Zea mays: one gene and its partner. The protein of the gene in region 2 binds, or shares a complex with, the protein of the main gene of each other region. Links are inferred from orthologs where the notes say so. Each region holds a gene or a part of one and is shown on either strand. Other genes may lie near its edges.

Region 1 (3,540 bases), on a different chromosome or scaffold from region 2:
TTTAAATTAAAGAACTAACCTTAGACAAAAAAGTTAGCTAAAGTGTGACATGTTAAACAGCGAACCAAACAGACCTTTAGTCTCTCCTAATTTTTTTCAGATATGTCACTGGATGGAAGTTGGCGATCGAACAAGGCGTTTGATTGCTTATACCATTTTATGAGCATCGTCACCTTGCATTTTGTAGAAGGTATGCTTACCCCTTAATTTGTGATGGGATTGAAAATTAGAGTTTTTGTATGTCCAAAAACAATGTATATTTTGATTTATTTGAACACACAGTCGATGTCATTTCTGTTTGGCAATCCTAGGTAGAGATGGTAATGAAGTCCCGTTCCCCGCGGAGATATTACAAGACGGGGATAGTTACAATTTATTTCAATGAGGTATTAAAATGAGAAAGAATCATCTCCATCAGGTTTAGCGGGGACGAGTATGGTAGTCTCTTCTTCGTCCCTAATCCTCACGAGCCCATATAAACAGGCACTAAAGAATTCGGGCCATAGAATTAAGACTCAATGACCGACATATATAAAGTGACCAGCAAAGTGAGAAAACTAGCTTCTATTCTGTCATCGTCGCCGACTCGACTCTCTCGTTCGTCCTCCCAAATCCCAATCTCCCTCGAGCGGGCGGGCCAGGCAGCAGACCAGCTCTCCAGCGTGCTGGGTGCAGGGCTGCACCGCTACAAGCCGTGCAGCACACTGCACATCCCCTCAGGTTTGATTGTTTGAGACCGTCACAGTCATGTTCACCTGGAGGCTGGAGGCCGCTGGCCGCAGGTCTCTCACTCTCTTTGTCTCCTCAATTACTACTACCTAACACATCTTTGGTCACTTGTATTAGCAAATCTTGGGCAGCGGCACATCTGCACATGCCGTGCATTCATATAGCCACGTCCATGCTGCACGCACAAATTTTATTTTGTTTGATAATTACTTCCCCACCAAATGAGCTACGTTCTTGTCCAAAATTATAATAAATGCGCAAGTGATTTGCTGTGTGGTGGTGTGAAGCTCTGCGCGAAGTGATTTGTGTATTTTTTTCTCCTTTTTCATGAAATTTCGCAATTTAAGGTCATCTAATTTATTGGGTATGAGTACGACAGTTTAAGTATCAAATTTATGAATACCTAGTACCTAGTTAATCAGCAACCTTGCAGACCTAAAATATCCTAGATTTGTAGTAAGTTTTTCACCATCACCTTTTCAAAATTCTGTTACACAGTGTGGTTCCTCACTGAATTTTAAGTACTGTCATATGACAATTTGGTTCTGCTATTGCTGGACATAAATTTGTAATTCTCTGTTCACGCATTACACCGAACAACTACAGGGTACGGAGGGATTCAACGACAAACATAATAATCGCTTCTATTATTTTCGTAGGGGCAAGTAGGCCAGTCATCAACCGAGGTCAGCTGAGTCAGGAGAGGAGGAAGTGGCCCTCGGGTGTTCCATGATTCGTACGCAATTTTTTTTTTGGAAATTTAGATTCATACCATTAAAAGATCACCACTTTGGATCCATACCATTACTATCTCACTTATATATAGGTCCACATGAGTCAATGACATGTGTGATCCATGATATATATCTAAAGTTTGGATCTTTTAATGGTATAGATCTAATTGTTCTTTTTTTTTTTTGTGGACGGAAACTGCGGTGTCAAATTGCAAGAAATGGGTCGGACCGTGGGCTGTGAACATGGGTTTGGTGGGCGGGCGAAGAAGCCAGCGGGCCCAGCATCTTTATCGTCTGCCGCAAAGAGGGCTGAAGGAGAAGCGAGGAAAGGTGAGGCCGATAGATAGAGGAGCTGCGGCGCCGCCGGCGAGCGAAGAGTGGAGGATCCGATCCGAAGCGAGAGGACTGAATCCTGCGGCCGGGAGGGACGCGGGACCACGACGAGCGTCGTCGTCGGTGCCAAGCAACGGTGAGGCCGTCTCGGATCTGAACTTTTTTGTTTGGTTTTTTTCCCTCCCGTTCTGAATCGACATGGTGAGAGCAAGAGAGTTGGGAATTGGGACGGATCATGGAACTCCCCGAGGGCCACTTCTTCCTCCGACTCAGCTGACCTCGGTTGATGATTGGCCTACTTGCCGCTACGAAAATAATAGAAGCGATTATTATGTTTGTCGTTGAATCCCTCCGTGCCCTGTAGTTGTTCGGTGTAATGCGTGCACAGAGAATTACAAGATATCCGCTGAGATTATGCGCGCAAGAAAACGTGGAGCATCTTGCTGACCCTTTGTTCTGTCCTTCAACCAATCCTACAATCACTGCGACACCAGTCTATCACCTTCATGCGCGTCGTTTTCGTGCGAAAAGTTTGCAGTCCTGGTGCTGCTTCTTTGGTACTCCAACTGACGTTGTTTCTGTGTGGCGATGTAACCAGGCAGTTGTCCCTGTCCAGAGCACAGGCAAGATGGTTAACGCGATCAAGGGGCTGTTCATCTCCTGGTAAGCTCTCCTGACGCAGCTGAAAATGAATCCCTCGTTTGCATTTCTCCCTCTCTCCCTGCCTTTACATGGTTGCCGTCCGTCCGTCCCTCTATTTTTCAGCGACGTACCTATGGCACAGTTCATCGTCAACCTGAACGCGTCGATGCCGCCGTCGGAGAGGTTCATCGTGCACATGCTCGACCCTACCAACATGTTCGTGCAGCCTCACGTGGCGCACATGATCAGGAGCAAGATCGGGGAGTTCAGGGACCAGAACAGCTACGAGAAGCCGCAGTAGTGGAGGATCTACCGCGTCCTACACTCCTTCCTTGGGACTTGCTTTCGTTGCCTGTATTATTTCTGCTGTGAGCTGAGCACCTCAGCGGAAACGAGTACGCCAAATAGATCCCACCTGTGGCCTTGAAATCATACTGCTATGTGCTATAAACGTGCAGAGGGCACTGCTACTGTGCTGCACTTGTGGTATTCTGGGATTCTTTTTGTCAGGTCCTTAAAATCCGTTGAGAATTTGAGATCCAGATGGGGCTTAGACCCCGTTTCAATCTCACGGAATAAACTTTAGCTTCCTGCTAAACTTTAGCTATATGAATTGAAGTGCTAAAGTTTAGTTTCAATTACCACCATTAACTCTTCTGTTTAGATTATAAATGGCTAAAAGTAGCTAAAAAAAGCTGCTAAAGTTTATCTCGCGAGATTGGAACAGGGCCATAGTCACGTATATCTGTGCCTTTATTTGTATGTATCTTTGTCTTGCTATGGACAACAAAACTACGGTGGCACACTAACAGGTAGTTTGGAAATCCAAATCCTCTAGAGATCCCTATATTTTCCCTCGGTGAGTAATCCTAGGAACATTATCTGCATAAGGGCTTGCTTGAGAGCAATGATATTCAAAATTGAATAACATGAGAATTTTAGACTCTTATAAGCCCTTCTAGTATTCTTGCTCTCAAACAAACCCTAGGATTAGGGCTGGAAACGAGCCGAGCGGTGCAGCTCGGTGGCCGACCGAGCTCGGTTCGGCTCGTCTGTTTCACGAGCTGGAGAAACAGGCTCGGTTCAAAGGCGGCTCGCGAGC
Region 2 (4,503 bases):
CAGCTGAACTATGCAGTGAACGTGCTCCTATCCATCAACGTTGTGGTGGCTCTCCTTGTCGCGTTGATCCTTGACAACACAGTGCCAGGCAGCAGACAAGAGCGCGGTGTGTACATTTGGACAGATCCCAAATCCCTCGAGGTGGATCCTGCGACATTGGAACCCTACCGATTGCCGGAGAAGGTTTCGTGCTGGCTCAGGTGGGCAAAGTGTGACAAGGTTTTGCTCTTTCTCACACAACATTGAATTATCTCAAACTCATAGCAGGGTACTTTATTCGCCACTTTATTCACCTCATAACCATTAGTGTTCATCCAAAAAATAAAAAAATAGGGGAACACACACCTGAAAGCTGTCGATCTGGGGTAGCCGACCGAACCGAGGAGGTTGGAGATGCGATGTGTTTGCTTGCCCGTGGTTTGAGCTTGGATCGAGGCACAGACGGTCAAAGGCGTTTACAGATGCTGATCTTGGGCCGAAGGGAAGGTGGTGTTGGTCGTCGGTGCCCGCGACAGTCGACGGCGACGTCTGCTGCTACCTTTGCGGATGGAAACCGACAGATGCGAGCTGGCGTCCCTGGACCAGCCCGACTGCCCACGCCTGCTGCCTAGCTTCGCTGACGAAGCCGACCAAGCTCGCGCGAGACCGTGGTTGTGGGGGAGGGTCGCTAGAGAATCGGAGAAGGTCTAGTGCTCATCGACCCCGGATCGACATCTTATCCAACGAGACCTAGGCGGCACGGGAGGGGGAGGCGGGGGATAATGGGCCTTGAGCGCCACGAAGGACTCAGAGGTGGAAGCGGCGGCGTTGGCTAACGGCTTCTCGAGTGCGTCGGAGTGGGAGGAGGGCGAGGGCGGGGCCGGAGGGAACGGGGTTTCGAGGGGGGGCAGGGCGGGGATGACACGACAGAGCTCTGGGAGGGGTGCAGAGCGGGGTTCCATGGGAAGGGCGGGGATCTCGCGGTGGACGCGAAGGCGGCTGCCACAGCGGGGAGGCGGGACGGGCATCACGAGCGGGGGCGCGCAGGAGCGGGACGCGCGGGCAGGCGGGCGTCGAGAGGCAGAACATGACGCACATGTGGACGCCTACAATGAGGACTTATAGAGTAGTAGGGATATAAATACATTCTCAAAAGCCCCCAAAAGGAAAAATAGAACTATATGAGCTGATATATTAATATCAGCAGAGGGAGCCTGGATAACTTACGGCAAGGTATTGAAACAGGCCATTTAGTTCTTGTGGCTTCAAATAAACTCCTCCTGTTATGTACGAAGCCTGCATAATGAAATATCGGTAACTAGTCAGCAAGAGGATGTTGTGACAGTATAACATGTGGATGAATTTGATGAGTACTAAAGAGCATTACCTGCTGCAAGAAAGCAGAATCCTGGGTTCCCACAATACAAGAGTCAATTGGTACCTAAGAGATTAGTAAGAATGTTGCCAGTCATTAAGCCACCGTAGCTAAAGTTTTGGAACAATTATGGATGCATATCTACATAGGCACATTCCAATGTCTTGCTCTTTCTGAACCCACTACATGTGTCAAATTTGGATATTAAGTACTTACTCTATCTTAGTGTATAAGGTGTAACTACTTTTTATTCTAGTCCCATAATACAAGGCGTATTATCTCTAGACATGCGTACATCGATGCAAAAGTATAGAGAGAATTAAATACATTTCTTGGTCTTTGAGCCAGAGGTGGTTACGCCTTATATACTGGGACAGAAGGAGTAATAAGTAACAACATAGTGACTGGCTGGTGAAACGAAAAGATCAATAAATCTCAATGGGACTAAAATGGATTAAGCAATTGATGTGATACCATGGAACGTTGAGCAGAAAATATTGAATTCATCACTGCCACATATCTGCACATAAATTTGATGAAGTGAAAACTAGGTCCTGAAAAAAAACTAGAAACTGCATTGATGACGATGCGTGCATACTGTTCAGGTCCGTCTGGAGATCCCTGCAGGCACAAAATCTGTATCTCGTGTTAGTATCAACTGCCGTGGCATTATAATAAGTATGAGAATACTGACTACAACAAATTATGGGCCAAACAAAGCATTATTTGTTGATCACAAATGATGAAATTAAACATTACTCAGAACTCTACACTCACCCGAGGTTGTGGATGCCGAGACCCAGACCGGAAAATCCTCTGTATATCTAAATAACCTCAATGTTAAGCAACACGAGCACAAATAAGATAGGTGAATGTGCAATAGTCAAGGAATTCAAGCGACTGGATACAGCACAAAGAGATGGACAGCGCCCCAGAGAGCAGCGACGCGGCATTGGCAGAAGCAACGGAACCGTTGCCTGCAGTGGCGCGCGCATCTTGTGCAATGAACTCCTCCGCCTTGCGGCTTGCCTTGTCGAAGGTGTCCGAGACGGCCACACCACCGGAGGGGCTGGCATCGCTGGAATCCAGGATGTAGGCACACGAGCTGACTCCCGCCGCGATGACGACCACACGGTTGAGGTGGTTCAGCAGCAGGAGGGAGTTCACGAAGTGGATCAGCTGCACGGGCATGGATATCACATCAAGCCAAGGCCCAATGGACGGATCAGGGCACCGCTACCAACGAGTCATCTAACGCACAAAATCGCCAGTGAAGATCGAACAAGGAAGCAGGCGCAGGGAAGCAAATGGAGGGTTAGGGTTGCATACGTGCGCGAAGAAGTCGGCGAAGGGGAGCGCCGCGGCGGCCCAGAAGAAGGGGTTCGTGTCGACGACGACCACGACGAGGCTGACGTCATCTGCACGCGCCGACGGGTGGCACCAGATGGGTTGAGCGCGTGTGTGTTAGGACCATGAGGGCATCGCGGAGTACGGGGATGCAAGAGTGGCGCGTGGCTCACCGGAGTAGAGCTTGGAGTGAGCGGAGGTCATGGCCGGCGAGGGGGGTTGCTGCTGCTCGCGGCCCGGCGGCAGAGGCCGGTCGCGCGCCCAGCCAATTCAAAGCTCCGAGGCGCCGGCGGGGGTGCTCGCCTCTCTGCTGGGGCGGCGGCGTGGCAGACTGGCAGCTCCGAAGCCCAGCAGGGAAGAGCCGCCGTGTGTTACCTGGCCGGCTGGGGAGGCGGTGTGGCGGCTCGAGAACGAGGGACAGGGAGGCGGCGCGACAACGAGGGAGAGGGAGGCGGTGCGGCGAGCGTCGGCGCGAGAACGAGGGAGGCGGCGTGTGAGCGGCGTGTGGGGATGGCAACGGGCATACCCGTCCGGTAGGACCGGGCGTTCGGTTATTCGGTTCGGTTCATCGGTTCTTGTAGAAATTCGGTCCTTTAAAAACTAGAACCGAAATAGTAAGATAAAAAAAACTATAATCGACTAATTTGGTTCTCGGTTCTTCAGTTCGGTTCCTCGGTTCTAACCGAACTATAACAGTCACTCTAAAATTCTGAATAACGACAACTTTTGTGACAAATTTCAGCAACATCTCCCCATAAACAACCACAAGTGCGCAATGACCATAATTTCATAAATAATACATGGATGATTAGAGGTTCAACATAAGTTGATAACACAACATCCGAAGTTACAAACACATGTAACAAATTGAATCTAATACTTTTGAGTTTTTCGGTTCTTTGGAGTGCAGAACCGAAAATGTCTCATTTATTTCGGTTCTTAGAAAAACAGAACCAAATTTCATAACGGTTCCTCGGTTCGGTTAGTTCGGTTTCGGTTCCTCGGTTCCGATTCTTTTTGCCCAGTCCAACCGTCCGATAGTATCATTTCATACCCGTATCTATCAAAAAAAATCTACCTGTCGGATTACCCATATATGTTTGCGGGTATAAAATCTTACCCATACACGTACCCGCGCGGGTATTTTTACCCGTCGCGCAACCCGAACCCGATAGGAAAGTCTTAAATTTCAATATACCAATCACTCAAAATATTAAATAAACATGCAAAAAAAATCAACTTCACATATAACAAATCATATAATCACATAACTTGGTATCTAGACAAATGATAGTAAAAGAAGAGTTTTATTTTAGCTAGGATGAGCTCTATTAGATGGTTATAGTGGTATTGATGCGGGCATATTTTACCCATGGGTAGACGGGTACGGGTAGTACCAACTCGTACCCATACCCGTCTACCCAACGGGTAGAGGTTTTACCCATTAACATATCTGCGGGTAGAGAAATCATCCCGTACCCGCCTTCATATCGGGTAAAACCCGTCGAGTATTCAGGTTTCGGGTATCCATTACCATCTCTACGTGTGAGCGACTGAGCGTTTAGCCGTTTAGGACTTTAGGTTTAGGGTTGCGGCGGTCGGCGGGTTGTCTAGTTTTGCCGTTTTGGTGACTTGCGTTTGGGCCTTGGGGAATCCGGAAATGCACCAAATGGTGGGGAAATGGTCGAATGGCTAGTGGTCGTTGGATGGCGGCGCCGCCATACTATCGGACGGATAGAATTGCTAGTAGGCTTTAGTGTACCTTAGTTAAATGGGTCGTGTCAGGCCGGTCTGTGTGCTTA

The links.
Region 1: General transcription and DNA repair factor IIH subunit TFB4-like (region 2) and REX1 DNA Repair family protein share a complex: the UniProt entries of both Arabidopsis thaliana proteins name them as parts of the 7-subunit TFIIH core complex. The link is inferred for Zea mays from reciprocal best matches to the Arabidopsis thaliana genes AT1G18340 and AT1G12400.

What each region holds. Positions count from the first base shown.
Region 1 is NC_050101.1:47,599,504-47,603,043, reverse strand, and holds REX1 DNA Repair family protein, read left to right. Parts: upstream 1-1,746; 5' UTR 1,747-1,932; intron 1,933-2,394; 5' UTR 2,395-2,424; coding exon 2,425-2,459; intron 2,460-2,561; coding exon 2,562-2,739; 3' UTR 2,740-2,978; downstream 2,979-3,540. UniProt on the Arabidopsis thaliana protein: Component of the general transcription and DNA repair factor IIH (TFIIH) core complex, which is involved in general and transcription-coupled nucleotide excision repair (NER) of damaged DNA and, when complexed to CAK, in RNA transcription by RNA polymerase II.
Region 2 is NC_050099.1:247,477,192-247,481,694, forward strand, and holds the start of General transcription and DNA repair factor IIH subunit TFB4-like, read right to left. Parts: upstream 3,112-4,503; 5' UTR 2,906-3,111; coding exon 2,875-2,905; intron 2,773-2,874; coding exon 2,684-2,772; intron 2,534-2,683; coding exon 2,263-2,533; intron 2,188-2,262; coding exon 2,132-2,187; intron 1,991-2,131; coding exon 1,953-1,990; intron 1,875-1,952; coding exon 1,829-1,874; intron 1,421-1,828; coding exon 1,367-1,420; intron 1,276-1,366; coding exon 1,207-1,275; intron 314-1,206; exon of another isoform or gene 4-313; intron 1-3. UniProt on the Arabidopsis thaliana protein: Component of the general transcription and DNA repair factor IIH (TFIIH) core complex, which is involved in general and transcription-coupled nucleotide excision repair (NER) of damaged DNA and, when complexed to CAK, in RNA transcription by RNA polymerase II.